2 linked regions of the Tribolium castaneum genome follow. The protein of the gene in region 2 purifies or fractionates together with the protein of the main gene of each other region. This does not show direct contact. Links are inferred from orthologs where the notes say so. Each region holds a gene or a part of one and is shown on either strand. Other genes may lie near its edges.

Evidence for each region. Proteins that work in one complex are often made in the same cells at the same time.
Region 1: the proteins of CSN6 (region 2) and Cul2 purify together in Homo sapiens (affinity purification with mass spectrometry; 5 studies listed by BioGRID and IntAct, counting the BioPlex papers as one, with this or other methods). This does not show direct contact. The link is inferred for Tribolium castaneum from reciprocal best matches to the Homo sapiens genes COPS6 and CUL2.

What each region holds. Positions count from the first base shown.
Region 1 is NC_087401.1:15,829,540-15,836,908, forward strand, and holds the end of Cul2 (cullin-2), read right to left. Parts: intron 3,458-7,369; coding exon 3,053-3,457; intron 2,993-3,052; coding exon 2,738-2,992; intron 1,488-2,737; coding exon 1,107-1,487; intron 1,060-1,106; coding exon 793-1,059; intron 722-792; coding exon 506-721; intron 463-505; coding exon 331-462; 3' UTR 178-330; downstream 1-177.
Region 2 is NC_087398.1:15,417,359-15,425,961, reverse strand, and holds CSN6 (COP9 signalosome complex subunit 6), read right to left. Parts: upstream 4,258-8,603; 5' UTR 4,172-4,257; coding exon 3,967-4,171; intron 3,916-3,966; coding exon 3,784-3,915; intron 1,630-3,783; coding exon 1,478-1,629; intron 1,427-1,477; coding exon 1,067-1,426; intron 801-1,066; coding exon 660-800; 3' UTR 581-659; downstream 1-580. Other genes in the region: uncharacterized protein C9orf85 homolog, read right to left, coding at 4,531-5,091. UniProt on the Homo sapiens protein: Component of the COP9 signalosome complex (CSN), a complex involved in various cellular and developmental processes.

The sequences.
Region 1 (7,369 bases), on a different chromosome or scaffold from region 2:
AAAATTTTTGGCGAAAATTACTAGTCCGACCGAGAAAAAACAAATAATGTAAGAATCTACGTTTGATTATCTATCGAACAGTGAAAACCGGGAGTTGGTCGGACGTGTAGTTTTGGCTCGGGACGGGTTTGAAATTTTTCAATTTTTTTTCAAGGTCATGTAAAAAAAAAAATCAACTCTTGTTTATATTTTATTATCACAAAGGGCAAATTACAGTAATTAGTCGTAAACTAACCTGGCCAGAATGAAACCATAGAAAAATTAAAGTGATCACTTATTTACAAATATGTTACAATATTTATCAAACCGATCAAACATAAGTTAGTGATTCTAAGCTACATAACTGTACTCCTCGCTCGAATGTGGCGTCCTTTCGATATACTGTTTATCAATGAGAGATTCGATGCACTTTTTGATCAACTGAACACTCGGTGCGAAGGAAACTTTCGATTGCGCATAAACCTAAAAAAAATTCAGAACCCCTTCACTATTTTCCCGCCCTCACCTCTTGTATCAAAGCGTTATGTTTGAGTATTTTCCTCGACTTCATAATCCTAACAATGGCCGCCTGCAAGTACATCTTCCGGTCCTCTTCGACCGAATTCATCGTTTGTTCAATCTCCTGAGGCGACTCTTTCTGCACAGCCGCATTTATCCGGAACTTCGTCCTCTTGTTGTTATATTCCATGTTTAAACGGAGCACCGTTTCCGGTTTCAAATCCTAAACTAGCCAATTAAAACGAGAAGATCATGGGGGCTTGGCCTCCGGCCACGCCCCCATGCCCAACCTACCGTACTATCCGCTATCAATAATTTACAATCAATCAAGCTAGCCGCGTATCTGTGATACTGTTCGGCGGTTAGTTGCAAACTCTCCCTAATTTCGCGAAAAGTGAGCGAATCCGTGTGTTCAAACAGCAACAAAGTGGCCATTTGAAACGTCTGCATTGTCACTAGATACGATTTTTTCAAATGGCCCAACTTCAATTCCGCTTGACACAAATTATGCAACCATGTCAATTTGCGACCGTTGAACCTATTATGATAGAAATTTTCAAACTGTAAGAGAATCATTTTAAGCCACGCCCACATGTGTACCATCTCACCATTTGTACGCTCTTCTCCAGTTGTCTAGGATACGTAAAAGGCGTGGTCACCGTCTGGCCCAATGGCCACGCCCCTGCTTGTAATACGTATATACTGAAATTAATTCCGAGGTCGATGTTGTCTTGTTTCAAAAATGCGTTAAATTTATTATTGAGATCCGCACTCACTGACATATCGGTAAACATTCGATGCAATTTACTTGTAAATTCGTAACCGCATGCTTGTTTTAAACGATTGATCATGGCCTCCTCCGCATCCATACTTTGCGTTTGTTGGTGGATGAGGCGTTTGGCCAACATTCGAGAATAGAATTTTTGAAATACGTCTTTGTCGTCGATATATTTGAAAATTGTTATGCTCTCGGCGAGCTTTTCGTCCACCTGGAAATAATCGTTTTTTCATAACCAACGAGGTAAACATTTTTTTTTATTTTTCATGACCAACGCGGTATACAATTTTTTTTATTTTTCATGACCAACGCGGGAAACAATTTTTTTGAGTTTTCCTGACGAACAGGAAAATCGAATTTTAAAAATTTGATTTTCCAATTTTTTTTATTTATTATTATTAAAAAAATTAAATTAAAATTCCAAATTTTATGGATTTGTAACGTTGGGAGATTAATTTACAGCAAGGAATATTTTCAAAAATTTAACTTTAACTGCCGTAACAACAACCAATGAGTCAACCAAATCTCTTTGTTCACACGTTTGCAGATAATATTTTTTTTGTTAGTGACGTTTTATCCGGATATTCTTACACAATTATTACGGATGTGCCGTTTTATTTTAATCAGTTTGTCACTTGCTAGTGTCGCGTACGGACGTCTTATAAACTTAGAAATTAAATTAAAAAAATCAACATTTTGCTAACTTTTAAATTTGTGTTTAAATAAATAGTGCGCGATTTTTTAATTATAGTGAATGCCAATTGGAATAGATCTCTGAAATCGTGTTACAAGGATCCGGATTAAAGGGTTAGTTTGAAAAATTTTTTTACAGAAAAATTACATTAAATTAAATTAATGACGTCCCAGGTTAAAATTACACGGAATTTTTGAATAATTAATAATTAAATGAGCAGTTTAAACATTTAATTTATATAATTAATTTATTTCTTTTGTAATTTTAGTTTCATTGGTTTGTACATTAAACTTTTTTTTCATTTTTTTATTTTTTGAGGATTAACTTAAATAAATAGCCTTGACTCACAACAATATCTAATAAATAAATAAGTAAAATCATAATCTTCTCAATTATTTTAAGTGCAGTTTCTACATAAAACCAGTTACTCGTATTTTTAGATTAATTTTATTGTTACCATAATTATATAGATTTTTTTTAATTTCAGTAAGTTCGTGTATGAAGATGAGGCTTGCTATAAAGGGTAGCAGAAGTAGATGCCTAAGGTGAGTGTTTTTTTTTTCGTATTGATTTGTGTTTTTATTTATTTATTTATAATTTATTTTTAATGCACTTTTTTGCGAGACCCTGTATAATAAATAATACGAATAATCTCAAAATAAAACTTTTGACAACAAAGTTATTTAAAATTAATCAGTTCTTCAACAGTAAATAAATAAAAACAATAAAAGTTTTTAAGTAAAAGTAAGAAAAAAAATCAAACTTACCTCCGAATCGCTAATCCCTTTACTCGACTTGCGCAACAATGCGTCGCAATACTTGGCCAAAAATTCGGGGCTTTTACACACAGGCTTGCCAAACTTGTGATTAATAACGGAACTGCAGGCCTTATCCAAAGCCCCCATAAAATTCTGATCCGACTTGAACACCTCTTGAATCAACAATTTATATTTTTTATAAACCGCTAGCATATTTTCGACGAACGTTATGTGAATATTTTCGGTATCAATATTACCAACAGCCTAAGAACAACAATAAAAAAATCCCTAAATCGGTAAACCACTCGTGTAAAAGCAACAAACCGTCAATCCTTGCGTCTTAATATGGTCCAGAACGGTATCAACAAGCACAACCATTGCATTTTGGACGCTTTTGAGCAGATCGTACATATTTGAGAGGTCCTTTTTGCGCTCACCCTGTACCATTGCCACGCATTCGCTGTATAAAAAGTCCAAATGTTCGGCCACCATGTGTGTTTCACATCGTTGGGAGACTTTCGGGAGGGAACTGGTGTGGAGGAAGCGACGTGCACGTAACAGTTCCTCCTCAATTCGTCCCTTGACGCGCTCCATATACAGGGAGACGTTTTTCTCTTGCAAAAGTTTGGCAGCGTCGCGTTTAAAATGCTCGCCGCTTTCTTTGAGGAACGGCTCCTCAAATAACTCCTGGTACAGTTGCAGTTGGCCCTTTTTCTTGTAGCCCTGCACCTGTTTTCAATTATTGTGAAAAATTTTGTTAGAAAAATAAAAATCATTCAAAATTACGTATGTATGCAAGATTACAGCACATTCGAATAACACGAACTCTCGCAAATTTGTGTCAGAAAAATTAAACAGACAGATAAGACAATAAGCAAGTTAAATAAGAGCTTTAAAAAACACTCGTTTTAGGCGAAATTTTGTCAAAAAAATTGGTCGGTAATGGTGTTATTTTTACGCAAGATTTGCAAAAACAAAGCGAAAAATTACGAACTAAACCGATAGCTTTGGCCTTTTTGGCTTGATCAAAGTTTTAGATTACTTTTAAGTCAGAAATAATTACATATTTCGCAAAATTTCATTAACGACCACTTCAGAAATACGCCAAAATGAGTTTTTTTTAAGTTTTTGAAGCCTTTAAGTACATTTTATAACTAAAATTTCGACAATCGCTTAAAAAACACCCAACTAGTTCGGAAATTATATTATGATTTTCCCTTTTCGGTCGTTAATTTACAAAATAAGTCAAAAAATCATCAAATTTCGCCGAAAATCGAGTATTTTTTGCACGTTTCTGCGTTAAAACAAAGTTTTTTCGAATAAACGGACGGAAAAATCACGTAATTAGATCGAGTTTTTAAGTTATTTTAAGTTGAATGAAAAATAAAAAATACGAAATACTCAAAACTAGACTGAAAACTATATTATTTTGACATTTTCAAACTTTTAAGCACGTTTTTGAGTTAAAACAAAGGTTTCTCGAATAATAAGGCTAGAAAATCACCACATTAGATCAAACTTAATGTTATCTTAGCCTATTTAAGACGACTTACCTCATTTTTGAGCAAAAAACAACGCCAAAAGTGACTTTTCTGTTTGCATTCCTCGAAAATTTCGCTCGTTTTTTAGTCAAAAATTCATTATTTCAGAAACTTTAGTTAACAAAATCTCGAAAAATCACCAAATTAGAAGAAAAACATCGAGTTATTTTGTGCTTTTTCAAGCCTCTAACCATGTATTTTAACTTAAAAACAATTTTTTTTCCAATTAACTTGCAGAAAAACCACCAAATTATATTGAAACTGATGTTATTTTAACTTGATTTAATTCGTTTGTAGGCGAAACTTTATTAAAAAAGCATTATTTGGTTGATTTCGCGCCTTTTTGGTAAGTTTTTGAACAAAAATTTCTAGGTGTTTTCAAAATTTCGCTAAACCAAAACCAAAAAAAAAACCAAAATAAAGTCGAAACTAGACCGAAAATTATATTATTTTGACATTTTCAAGCTATCAAGTACGTTTTTGAGTTAGAAACAATGTTTTTCGAATAAATAAACTAAGAAATCACCAAAACTAGATCAAAACTAATGTTATCTTAGCCTATTTAAGACGATTTACCTCATTTTTGAGCAAAAAAGAAAGTCAAAAGTGACTTTCTGTTTGCATTCCTCGAAAATTTCGCTCGTTTTTTAGTCAAAAATCCATTATATCAGAAATTTTACTTAACAAAATCTCGAAAAATCACCAAATTAGATGAAAAATATCGAGTTATTTTGTGCTTTTTCAAGCCTCTAATCATGTATTTTACCTTAAAAACATTTTTTTTCCAATTAACTTGCAGAAAAACTACCAAATTATATTGAAACTGATGTTATTTTAACTTGATTTAGTTCGTTTGAAGGCGAAACTTTATTAAAAAAGCATTATTTGGTTGACTTCGCGCCTTTTTGGTAAGTTTTTGAACAAAAATTTCTAGGTGTTTTCAAAATTTCACTAAACCAAAACCAAAAAAAAAACAAAATAAAGTCGAAACTAGACCGAAAATTATATTATTTTGACATTTTCAAGCTATCAAGTACGTTTTTGAGTTAGAAACAATGTTTTTCGAACAAATAAACTAAGAAATCACCAAAACTAGATCAAACTTAATGTTATCTTAGCCTATTTAAGACGATTTACCTCATTTTTGAGCAAAAAAGAAAGTCAAAAGTGACTTTCTGTTTGCATTCCTCGAAAATTTCGCTCGTTTTTTAGTCAAAAATCCATTATATCAGAAATTTTACTTAACAAAATCTCGAAAAATCACCAAATTAGATGAAAAATATCGAGTTATTTTGTGCTTTTTCAAGCCTCTAATCATGTATTTTACCTTAAAAACATTTTTTTTCCAATTAACTTGCAGAAAAACTACCAAATTATATTGAAACTGATGTTATTTTAACTTGATTTAGTTCGTTTGAAGGCGAAACTTTATTAAAAAAGCATTATTTGGTTGACTTCGCGCCTTTTTGGTAAGTTTTTGAACAAAAATTTCTAGGTGTTTTCAAAATTTCACTAAACCAAAACCAAAAAAAAAAACAAAATAAAGTCGAAACTAGACCGAAAATTATATTATTTTGACATTTTCAAGCTATCAAGTACGTTTTTGAGTTAGAAACAATGTTTTTCGAACAAATAAACTAAGAAATCACCAAAACTAGATCAAACTTAATGTTATCTTAGCCTATTTAAGACGATTTACCTCATTTTTGAGCAAAAAAGAAAGTCAAAAGTGACTTTCTGTTTGCATTCCTCGAAAATTTCGCTCGTTTTTTAGTCAAAAATCCATTATATCAGAAATTTTACTTAACAAAATCTCGAAAAATCACCAAATTAGATGAAAAATATCGAGTTATTTTGTGCTTTTTCAAGCCTCTAATCATGTATTTTACCTTAAAAACATTTTTTTTCCAATTAACTTGCAGAAAAACTACCAAATTATATTGAAACTGATGTTATTTTAACTTGATTTAGTTCGTTTGAAGGCGAAACTTTATTAAAAAAGCATTATTTGGTTGACTTCGCGCCTTTTTGGTAAGTTTTTGAACAAAAATTTCTAGGTGTTTTCAAAATTTCACTAAACCAAAACCAAAAAAAAAAACAAAATAAAGTCGAAACTAGACCGAAAATTATATTATTTTGACATTTTCAAGCTTTCAAGTACGTTTTTGAGTTAGAAACAATGTTTTTCGAACAAATAAACTAAGAAATCACCAAAACTAGATCAAACTTAATGTTATCTTGGCCTATTTAAGACGATTTACTTCATTTTTGAGCAAAAAAGAAAGTCAAAAGTGACTTTCTGTTTGCATTCCTCGAAAATTTCGCTCGTTTTTTAGTCAAAAATCCATTATATCAGAAATTTTACTTAACAAAATCTCGAAAAATCACCAAATTAGACGAAAAATATCGAGTTATTTTGTGCTTTTTCAAGCCTCTAACCACGTATTTTAACTTAAAAACTTTTTTTTTCCAATTAACTTGCAGAAAAACCACCAAATTATATTGAAACTGATGTTATTTTAACTTGATTTAGTTCGTTTGTAGGCGAAACTTTATTAAAACAGCATTATTAGGTTGATTTCGCGGCTTTTTGGCAAGTTTTTGAACAAAAAATTATATTATTTTGACATTTTCAAGCTTTCAAGTACGTTTTTAGTTAGAAACAATGTTTTTCGAATAAATAAACTAAGAAATCACCAAAACTAGATCAAAACTAATGTTATCTTACCCTGTTTTACACCGTTTACCTCATTTTTGAGCAAAAAACAAAGTCAAAAATAACGTTTTTTTCGAATTCCTTCAACATTTCGCTCGTTTTTCAGTCAGAAATTCATTATTTCAAAAATTTTAGTTAACTAAATCCCCAAAAATCGCCAAATTAGACCAAAATTATCGACTTATTTGTACCTTTTCCAAGCCTTTAACCACGTTTTTTAATTTAAAAACAAAGCTTTTTCGAATAACTAACAGAAAAATCGCCAAATTAGATTGAAATTGATGTTATTTTCACCTGATTTCGTTCTTTTAGGCACGTTTTTGAACAAAAATCTCTAGGTGTTTTCAAAATTTTGCGAAACAAAACCAAAAAAAAACACAAAAT
Region 2 (8,603 bases):
ATATACGGAAAAGTTTCTAAATCGCATTGTAGCTTATTTTGTGACAACAAATTTAGTAAATTCGCTTTTAATAAAATTTAATATCTAAATTTTAGTTTCTTATCAATAACTCGATAACGAAGGACAATCAGACAATTTTCCAGCTTTCGATTTGTTTTAGTTTTCTGAAGCAAACCCTAAAAGCACGGGCGTCAATTTTGAGACACCCTGTATACATATGATTTTCCGATAAAGCCAAAGGGCCGCCATCTTGAAAATATTTTTGTTGGAGAGGAACTAACAGATTATCATTGTGTAAAAAAACCACTTCTATACTAATGTGGGGTTTAGAAGCAGCAGTTAGCAAATATTTTGTAAAAACAGGGAGATTTTTTGTGTATTCACCGTGTTGTGTTAATAACAGTTATTTAAAAATTGCTTCTGTGATAAAAATCACAAACATCTCTCTGTACCGCACACAATCACCACTCAAGTGAAGAAGAAATTACAAACTGTAGTCTTCCCAAAATTTTTATACAAGTATCATTGCCTTTTATAAGCTCTTTTGATAAAAATTGCCGCAAAATACAATAAAAGACAATTTGTAATATGGAAGGATTGTTTAATAGAAACTTTAATACAGAACTGAGGGTTATAAATAAAATTGCTTTTTTTACGAATTAAAAGAAAATTCCTCTCATCCTCCTGCCCAGTCCTTGTCTGTCATACAAAATGTTGAATTTGTTCACAAACTGGTTGAGATCATTACAGCCCTTTGTTAAAGTCCCTAAATACGTCATAAGGCCCACATCGTTGCATTGCTGTAAAAACACGTGACAGTAAGTACAACAATAGTTATTTATTTACATTATACGTGCGATAGGTTTAATTTCACAGCGTGAAGTTTTAATATTGACAAAAACTGAACGCTGTAAAATACCTAACGTACAAAACTTTTTGGCCGACGACAGTTCTTCGATAAATTCATATTTCGACGAGCAAACATGTCAATGACAGTTGTCGCGGCCAAAAATGTGGAAAATTGCTTTCCAGATAACTAAAAACTACGTGTGCAAAAAATACTTACATTATAAAAATCTTGTCGAAACCTTGCACTTTGTATAACAGGTAATCGGTGACACAACGAATAAGCCTCTCGTAAAATCTCGTGATTTGTAGGCAACTGTCCACTTTGTACAGCTTTCATATACTCTAAAACCAGCCTAACTCTAGAATGCAACATTTTGATAGCACTGTGTTGCGCTGTCAAATGCTCTGCAACAAGAGAGCTTTCTCCTGAGTCCGTTGAAGACATTCTCGCCACATGATCTACTCCAATTCTTTCTGCTTCTTCGGTTGCCAGAGTATAAGACAAATTAACAAATAACATTGTTGCTTCGCCCCCAATCAAATCAATTACAGACTCGTAAAGAGCAACCGGCAAATGCTAAAATAATTATGTTAAAACTAACACTTAAAATGCAGCCTGTGTACGAACATCAATGTTTTTGTCGTAGGGATTTAATTTAAGCAAAATTGGAGATTCATTAATGTCGCATATTTGCTTATGGATTTTAATGTCAGTGGTGTTGGGGATGTCTCCGGTGGTGTACCAACCAATGAAATCCATGTCACTGAACACCTGCTTGACTGCAATAGATTGTTAACAAACAATTTTTGTGTTTTCTAGTGTTTGAATTTACAATAAGAGTAGTTTTCTTATTTTTATTATTTGTATTCACCTTTCAAGCCAAGATCTCTGCGCTCTCTGGTGAACCACTCCCTTGCGAAATTTGATTTTGGCAGCTAGAGTACCATAAAAGATCTATTAAAAGTGTCAAACAGACAAAAAACGTTTGTACCTTTTCAAAAAAATTACATTTAAATTTCCCGCTATATGGCAAAGCAGCATTTCACAATTAACAACCAGAAAAACCAAAGGTCTTAACTTGAAAGGCGAATAATTGTCATAACTAAGCGCAAAACTTGAGAAAAATTAATAAAAAAAAAAATGAAAAAATATATACACCGTATTCGGTAAATGGACTGCCATCGCTTTACTGCGAACTCACAGGAGTCAGAAAAATATTATTCCGCATTTACATGAACTTTACTGTTTATAAAATTTTCAGCTACTGTATCCATACTTTACAGTTTATAGCAACCTTGTTAGAGTTGCCACCTGTCCGGTTTTCACTCAATACAATCCGGATATTAGACGATATGTCCGGTATCCGGATCAAATGTTAATTTGTAATAAATGTCCAGTTTTCTTAGGGTAATTTAAATTTTGTTGTATCTAAAATTAAAATTAACGACCAATTTTAAAAACTCTGCGATAGAACGCTTAATTCCATCTGTAATTTTTCTGAATTCGAAACTATCTAGTTGTTTCCAACAAATACTTTGAATATTAAAAAAAACTTGGAGTGAATTGGAAAAATGTAGATATACAACTTCTAAAAATTGAATTTACATTTTGCAAACAGGATACCGGATAGTTTTGCAAAAAAAATGATGCAGAAAGGTGGTTTACTGTTTATACAATGTGTTTTTAAATGATTCTCATCTAGTTAACTTTGAAATAATAAATACAGAATGTTAATATTCAATGTCTAAATGCCTATCATTAGTTATATGTTCTTTTACATGAGAAATTCACAGATGATTAGATGTGAATCATTCTAACACTCATTGTACAGGCTGCTGCATTTTAGATGTCGGAATAGGGGAACTCCAAAACTAAGAGATTTAGAGAAAAACAAGTGACACATTTTCTGGTCCGTTTTTTTAAAAAATAATTTTGGTCAACCGCATCCCGCTATCATCTTTTGTTTTCGACTTATCAACAGAACTTGACATTTTAACGAAATCTTAAAAAAAATCATATATATCTTCCTTATTATAAAAGATACACATTTGAAACACAAACATTATACAAGCACTTTTTACAGAGAATTTAAAAATGTTATCAGCGATTTTTTTAACCTTTCGTTTAGCTGTAATAAGTTTTATTTTTTTAAATATGAATTATAGGAGGCTGTAATATTTTTGTAAAGCTAATTTTTTTCTGATTTGATGTGTAATACATTCTTTTTAAATATTAAAAAAAATACATTTCGCTTTTTCTGTATAAAGTTGACACTAAAATGTCAACTTTTGTTTATAAGTCGAAAACAAAAAACGATAGCAAGATGCGGTTTAGACCAAGATTATATTCTCAAAAAACGGACCCAAGAATGTGTCACTTGTTTTTCTCTAAATCTCTTAGTTTCGGAGATCTCCTATTCCGACATCCAAAATACAGCACTCTGTACAATATTATTACTACAATATTTTTTATACTAATGCTGTTTGTTATATTTCTTGTATCAGTACATACTATTAAAACTATTGGCAATGTTTTTTTGGTTTTGTAATATTTTATTTGAAAATAAATTTATTTTTATTAAACTAAGTAAAAATTCTTAATACAAACGAGAAGTCAGGTAATAAGATGCCATTACCAGAGTATTTTATATACGATAATACGATAATATAAGAATGTAAGTTATTGTTGTTAGTCATTTTATTGTGGTGTCCAAAGCTAAAAAAAATCTGATGGTAACCCTAAACGTTGCCTACCTCCCACAAAAAATTTGCAGTCTGGCTAAACTTCATTATAATTTACAACAGATCTTATTCAATGAAATTGAAGAAATAAATGAGTCTCAATTACAACAAACGCAACCAACCATACAGAAAAAATCTTCCCTACTCTGATTAGTGATTACAAATTCCGTTGACCACACGGTACATACTTACATTGTTCTTCCTTCATGTTGTAATAATCCCTGTCGATAATAACATCCCCTCCAATTACACTAAATACCAGTTCAAATGAGTTCATTATTTCAATGTTTCGCCCCTTCTGTTTACCAATCAAAGCCCCAATCACTTAAAATGTAACATTATAAATAACTAACTATACTGTAAATGGTGTCGTACCTCGTTGGACTGAGCCCTCTTGAGCCTTTTCACGTGTCCAGTGCTCAGAAACATTCATTATCACCAAAGGGTGCAATGAACAAGTCACAGAACCGACAGCCCCAGCTGCCATCACACTTTTTTCCGAATCTTCCGCCGGATTATTTGCAACATCAGCAGAAGCCGGATTATCGACTTCCATTTCCATTGATTCTTTCGTACTCATATTAATTATTACAAGAAATTGAATCAAAATGTATAAATAACACCGCTAACAAAATGACAAATGACAGCGCTTTGACCCTTTGACAGATGTCAATGTCACAAGTGGCGCCAAACTTAAACGCAACATATTAACATATTCCTCAAATTTTATTAAATTCAAATACCTAATTAAATTTACTCATTAGACGAATTAACGTCATCACTTCCATTATTTCTGTAGGACGCATATAATTTATTACAAGATAATTAACCGAAATGACAAATAAGATCGCTTTGACAGAACGTGGTGCAACAAATAAAAATATTCGCTCTTTTATTTTATTATTTTAATTAAATTCTACAACCAATATATTACAAAATTTAATCATCCGACGAATCAACGTCATCAAAATCGCTGAAGTCGTCCAAGTCATCGTCAATCTTAAGCGCGTTGAGTTTGCTTTTCAAATCTTCCTTTCTCTCCTCGTCATTCGTCGAATCTTCCTCACTTTTTTTGCTCATGTACCTCAAAAACGTCCTCCGTTTGCGTTCCGGAAGCGTATGTAGCAAATTCTTCATTTCGTTGTCCAGTTTGAGTTGTTCCTTTTCGTCCGGTTTTGTTGTAATAACTTCTTTCGTTTCACAACATTTTGTACAAACACCAAATTTTTTTCCACAGTCTGTACACATCACATGATACGCTTTCTTCACGTTTTTCTGATCACATCTGACACATTTTCGTGGCTGTGTGAGCGGTTTGTATTTTTTGTACTTTATTTTCCACTCGATTATTTCCTTGCAACGGACACAAACGTCGCTGATTTGGATGTTGTTAATGTTTTTCGTGCGTTGACTTGTGTCGTGGAGGGTGTTTTTGAAGGCGGTTTTGTTTTGATGTTTTTGGGAGCGACTCCTTTGGGCGTTACCTTTTTGGGTGCTCATTTTTTCTGGAACGAAAACGTAGCTAAATGGGCTTTTATGTCTTTAATCAATTTTTTTGTTAAAAAAACTCATTTTTATTGATTTCTTTGCCTATTTCAATTTCAAACTCTTTATTGAATTGTTGAATGACCTAAAGATAAACACGCCAATAAAAATCAAAAAAGGCAAAAATAATTAAAATATGTTCGGCAAAACTTTCTCATTTTCTGTTTGTTTTTAGCAAAACGCTCGAAAATGACAAAAAGAATAATAAAATAAAATAAATCTCAAAAAAACTGACAATTTAGTTTGAAAACTTCATTTTTGACAAAGTTGTTATTTGTTTGGCGCTACTGTTGAAAAAACTTTGTTTTTACTTCAAAAACGTGCTTAAACACTGTAAAAAGGCAAATTTAACATCATTTTTGACCTAATTTATAGTACATTAAAAACAAGTTTTATAAGACGAGTCTTAATCTTATTATGACATCGCTCTTGATAACGTTGCGTGCTTTAAGATGCCCATTGAAACATCAAAAGGGCGGCAAATTACAAAAAAAATATTTTCAAACAGTTTTTAACGAAATTTTGGATTTTTAACTGACTGACCACTATCTTTGAAGGAACTAATTATTATTGACTATTGTGTTTTAATTTCGAGAGAAAACCGTACATGCTAAAATACTTAAAAAAACGGCAAAATCCGACAGAAATTTCTAGATCAAAGATCAGTAAACTAAAAATTTTATTTTAAAATATGCTTATAAAAACGGGAAAGATTTGTTGGTTGTTTAGGGTAGGGAGTGTCTGATGAAGATTTAATAAAAAATCGAAACGTCGCAAAATTATAAATTTTAATTACTCCCTGCCCTAAACAACCAACATATATTTTCTGGTCATGTTGGCTGGTAAAGTTGAAACAAAATTTGAACAAAATTTTGTTTTGTGTTTTATTTTTTGACGAAATTACAATCAACTAAAATCGAGTGATACAACCAAAATTATATCGCTTCCGACCTAATTCTGTAATTGTTTAAAATACGTGCTTGCTTATGCAGTGGGAAAAGGCAAACTTATCTGATAACATAATTTTTGGCTTAATTTGATAAATCTTCGTCCTGTTTTTAACAAAATAATTTTGCGAAATAATAGTTCTTCTAACTCGCAATCATCAAAAAAAGTAAAAATAGTAATACAACTTCTAACACAACTCACCGACCATTTAGAACAAGACCACAATTTTTGCCAGTAATTTATTGTTATTCTGGCTTAATTCTTTACACAATTTTGGAGAAAATTGTGTATGCTGAGACTTTCAAACCAGACTAAATTAATATCATTAAAAAAACTAAAAATACACGTACAGTTTTCAAACAGCAGGGGTAGACATTGAAAAAGATGAAAATAATACATTTTCTACCAATTTATAGGTTTTGTCAGTTTATTTTTTGATGACATAAATATGGACTCAAACAAAAAAATAAGATCATGTTCGACCTAATTCCGCCACTTTCAAAGTAATTGTTTTGTTCAAAAACTAATAGTCACTATTGCTGTGTGAAAAATATAAAAACGGCAACGTCGCATTTTCTCTCAAAATTAGCTGTTATAAATTATTCATGCACTTCAAAATATCAAAATATTGATAGCTAATGCAATTTGTACTTTCAATGATAGAGATCTAATGATTAATAACTAAAATGCGACATATTTTTATAGATTCGAAACAGCTAATATGTATTTTCGACAAGTTTTTTGTTTTTCTGGTGATATTGTTAATGCTTGGTTTTCACATCAAAAACGTGGTTAAACACTGTAAAAAGGCAAATTAAATATTATTTTTTAACTTTACTTGAAATATCTCCGCCCGTTTTGGATAAAATTTTGCGAAATCATTATTTCTAACTGACATACGTTATAAAACACACGAAAACATCAGAAATGATGTAGTTTCCAACAAAAAAAATGTACTGATTTTTCAAAACAAAATCACTGTTATTGAACTAATTAAACTTTTTTGACTTACTTTTTGTAAAATTTCGAGATCAAATCGCATCTGATGTAACAAAATCTCATAAAACCAAAGATTTGGTTTTAAAATATGCTTAGACGTTAAAAACGGTAAAAATAACAGAATGTTCTACCAAATTGTTTTTTCAGATTATCTTTTGACGAAATTTCGATCAAATGCCAACCGAAATCGAAAGAAATAAACAAAATAAGTAATTCTAGGTATAACTCTTGGTCTAATTTCGAAAATGCACAAAAAAAATTTAACCATCGAAATACGAAGAGATTTAAAAAGAAAAAAATGCAAAAATCCAAAAGTCTGTTTTATAAGATAGATAATAACCAAAATGGGAAATAAACACCAAACCATAATGTCAAATTTTTATTGGTTAAATAAACATTTTCTAGATTTATTTCGATTTTTGTATGCTTTCTCGACTCTTGGCTAAAACTTTCGACTCCAGTTTCTTTATTTCTTCCATTTGGTTCGTTAGTAATTTTTCCAGTTCCTTGGTCTTCTTGCCAATCAACTTAAATTGCTTCTGTTGTTGCGTGATGTATTGTAAAGTTTCATTTTTAGCAATTTCACTAAGAGTATGAACAGTAGTAGCAAAAGTATTCAACTGTTGGCTCAAATCAGTAGCTATACTTCTATATTCGGGCAATTCGTCCCATTTTGCCGACATAGCACCCACTTTTGTGGCTTCGTCAATAATTTCGATTTGTTTTTGTAAACATTCCTTGTAAGCTTTGCTTGTTTCCAGAATATGATCGCGGAAGGAATTCATCAGTTGCGTAATTGCTACTTCACCCTTCTCACAAGCTGCCTTTAAGTGCAAATCAAAATTATCCATTGTGTCTTTTGAGCGCTCTTTTGAGAAAATTGGATAGGAAGTAACAAGAAAGAGCTTTGGTGTGTTTCTGACTTTAGGCAGAGTATATAGAGGTCGTAAAACTCTTCGGAAAATGGTTTTTGAAGCGAACAATCTGCCGATCATTTTCGGGTGTTTAAAAGTGTTATCGGCAAAAATTTAGGACATTATGAATGAAGTTACCTGAAATCCAGTAATAGTGTTACGTTTCTTCAAAGCAAATTTAGATCTTTATGTGTTGAAAAGTGTCAAATGTGTCAAAAAATAAGTGACATTGAATTTTTTAAAATTAGCAGTTGGTACAAAAAGCAATCACCTTTCAAGTGATAAAAAATTAAGAAAACATTGCACTGAGTCGTAGGTTTTCAAAGTTTGGATCCTCTTTGGTTGATACTATATAATATTTATTTTCAATTGGCATTTTGGTTTTCAGCTATAATTTGCTAGGTTTGGTCCAGACACAGTAATTTTGTTGCTAATCTGGTTATTCTGCAAAAACCTTGAAAATGTTTTAATGATTTTTTAAAAATAACTGCTGTAGTTGCTTATGCGGTTACAACAAAAAGCCAATAATTTATTTTGAGATTTATTACTATTTAAAAATCAAATACTTCCTCAAACATTCAGTAGAATTATCTTCTTTCATTGCGC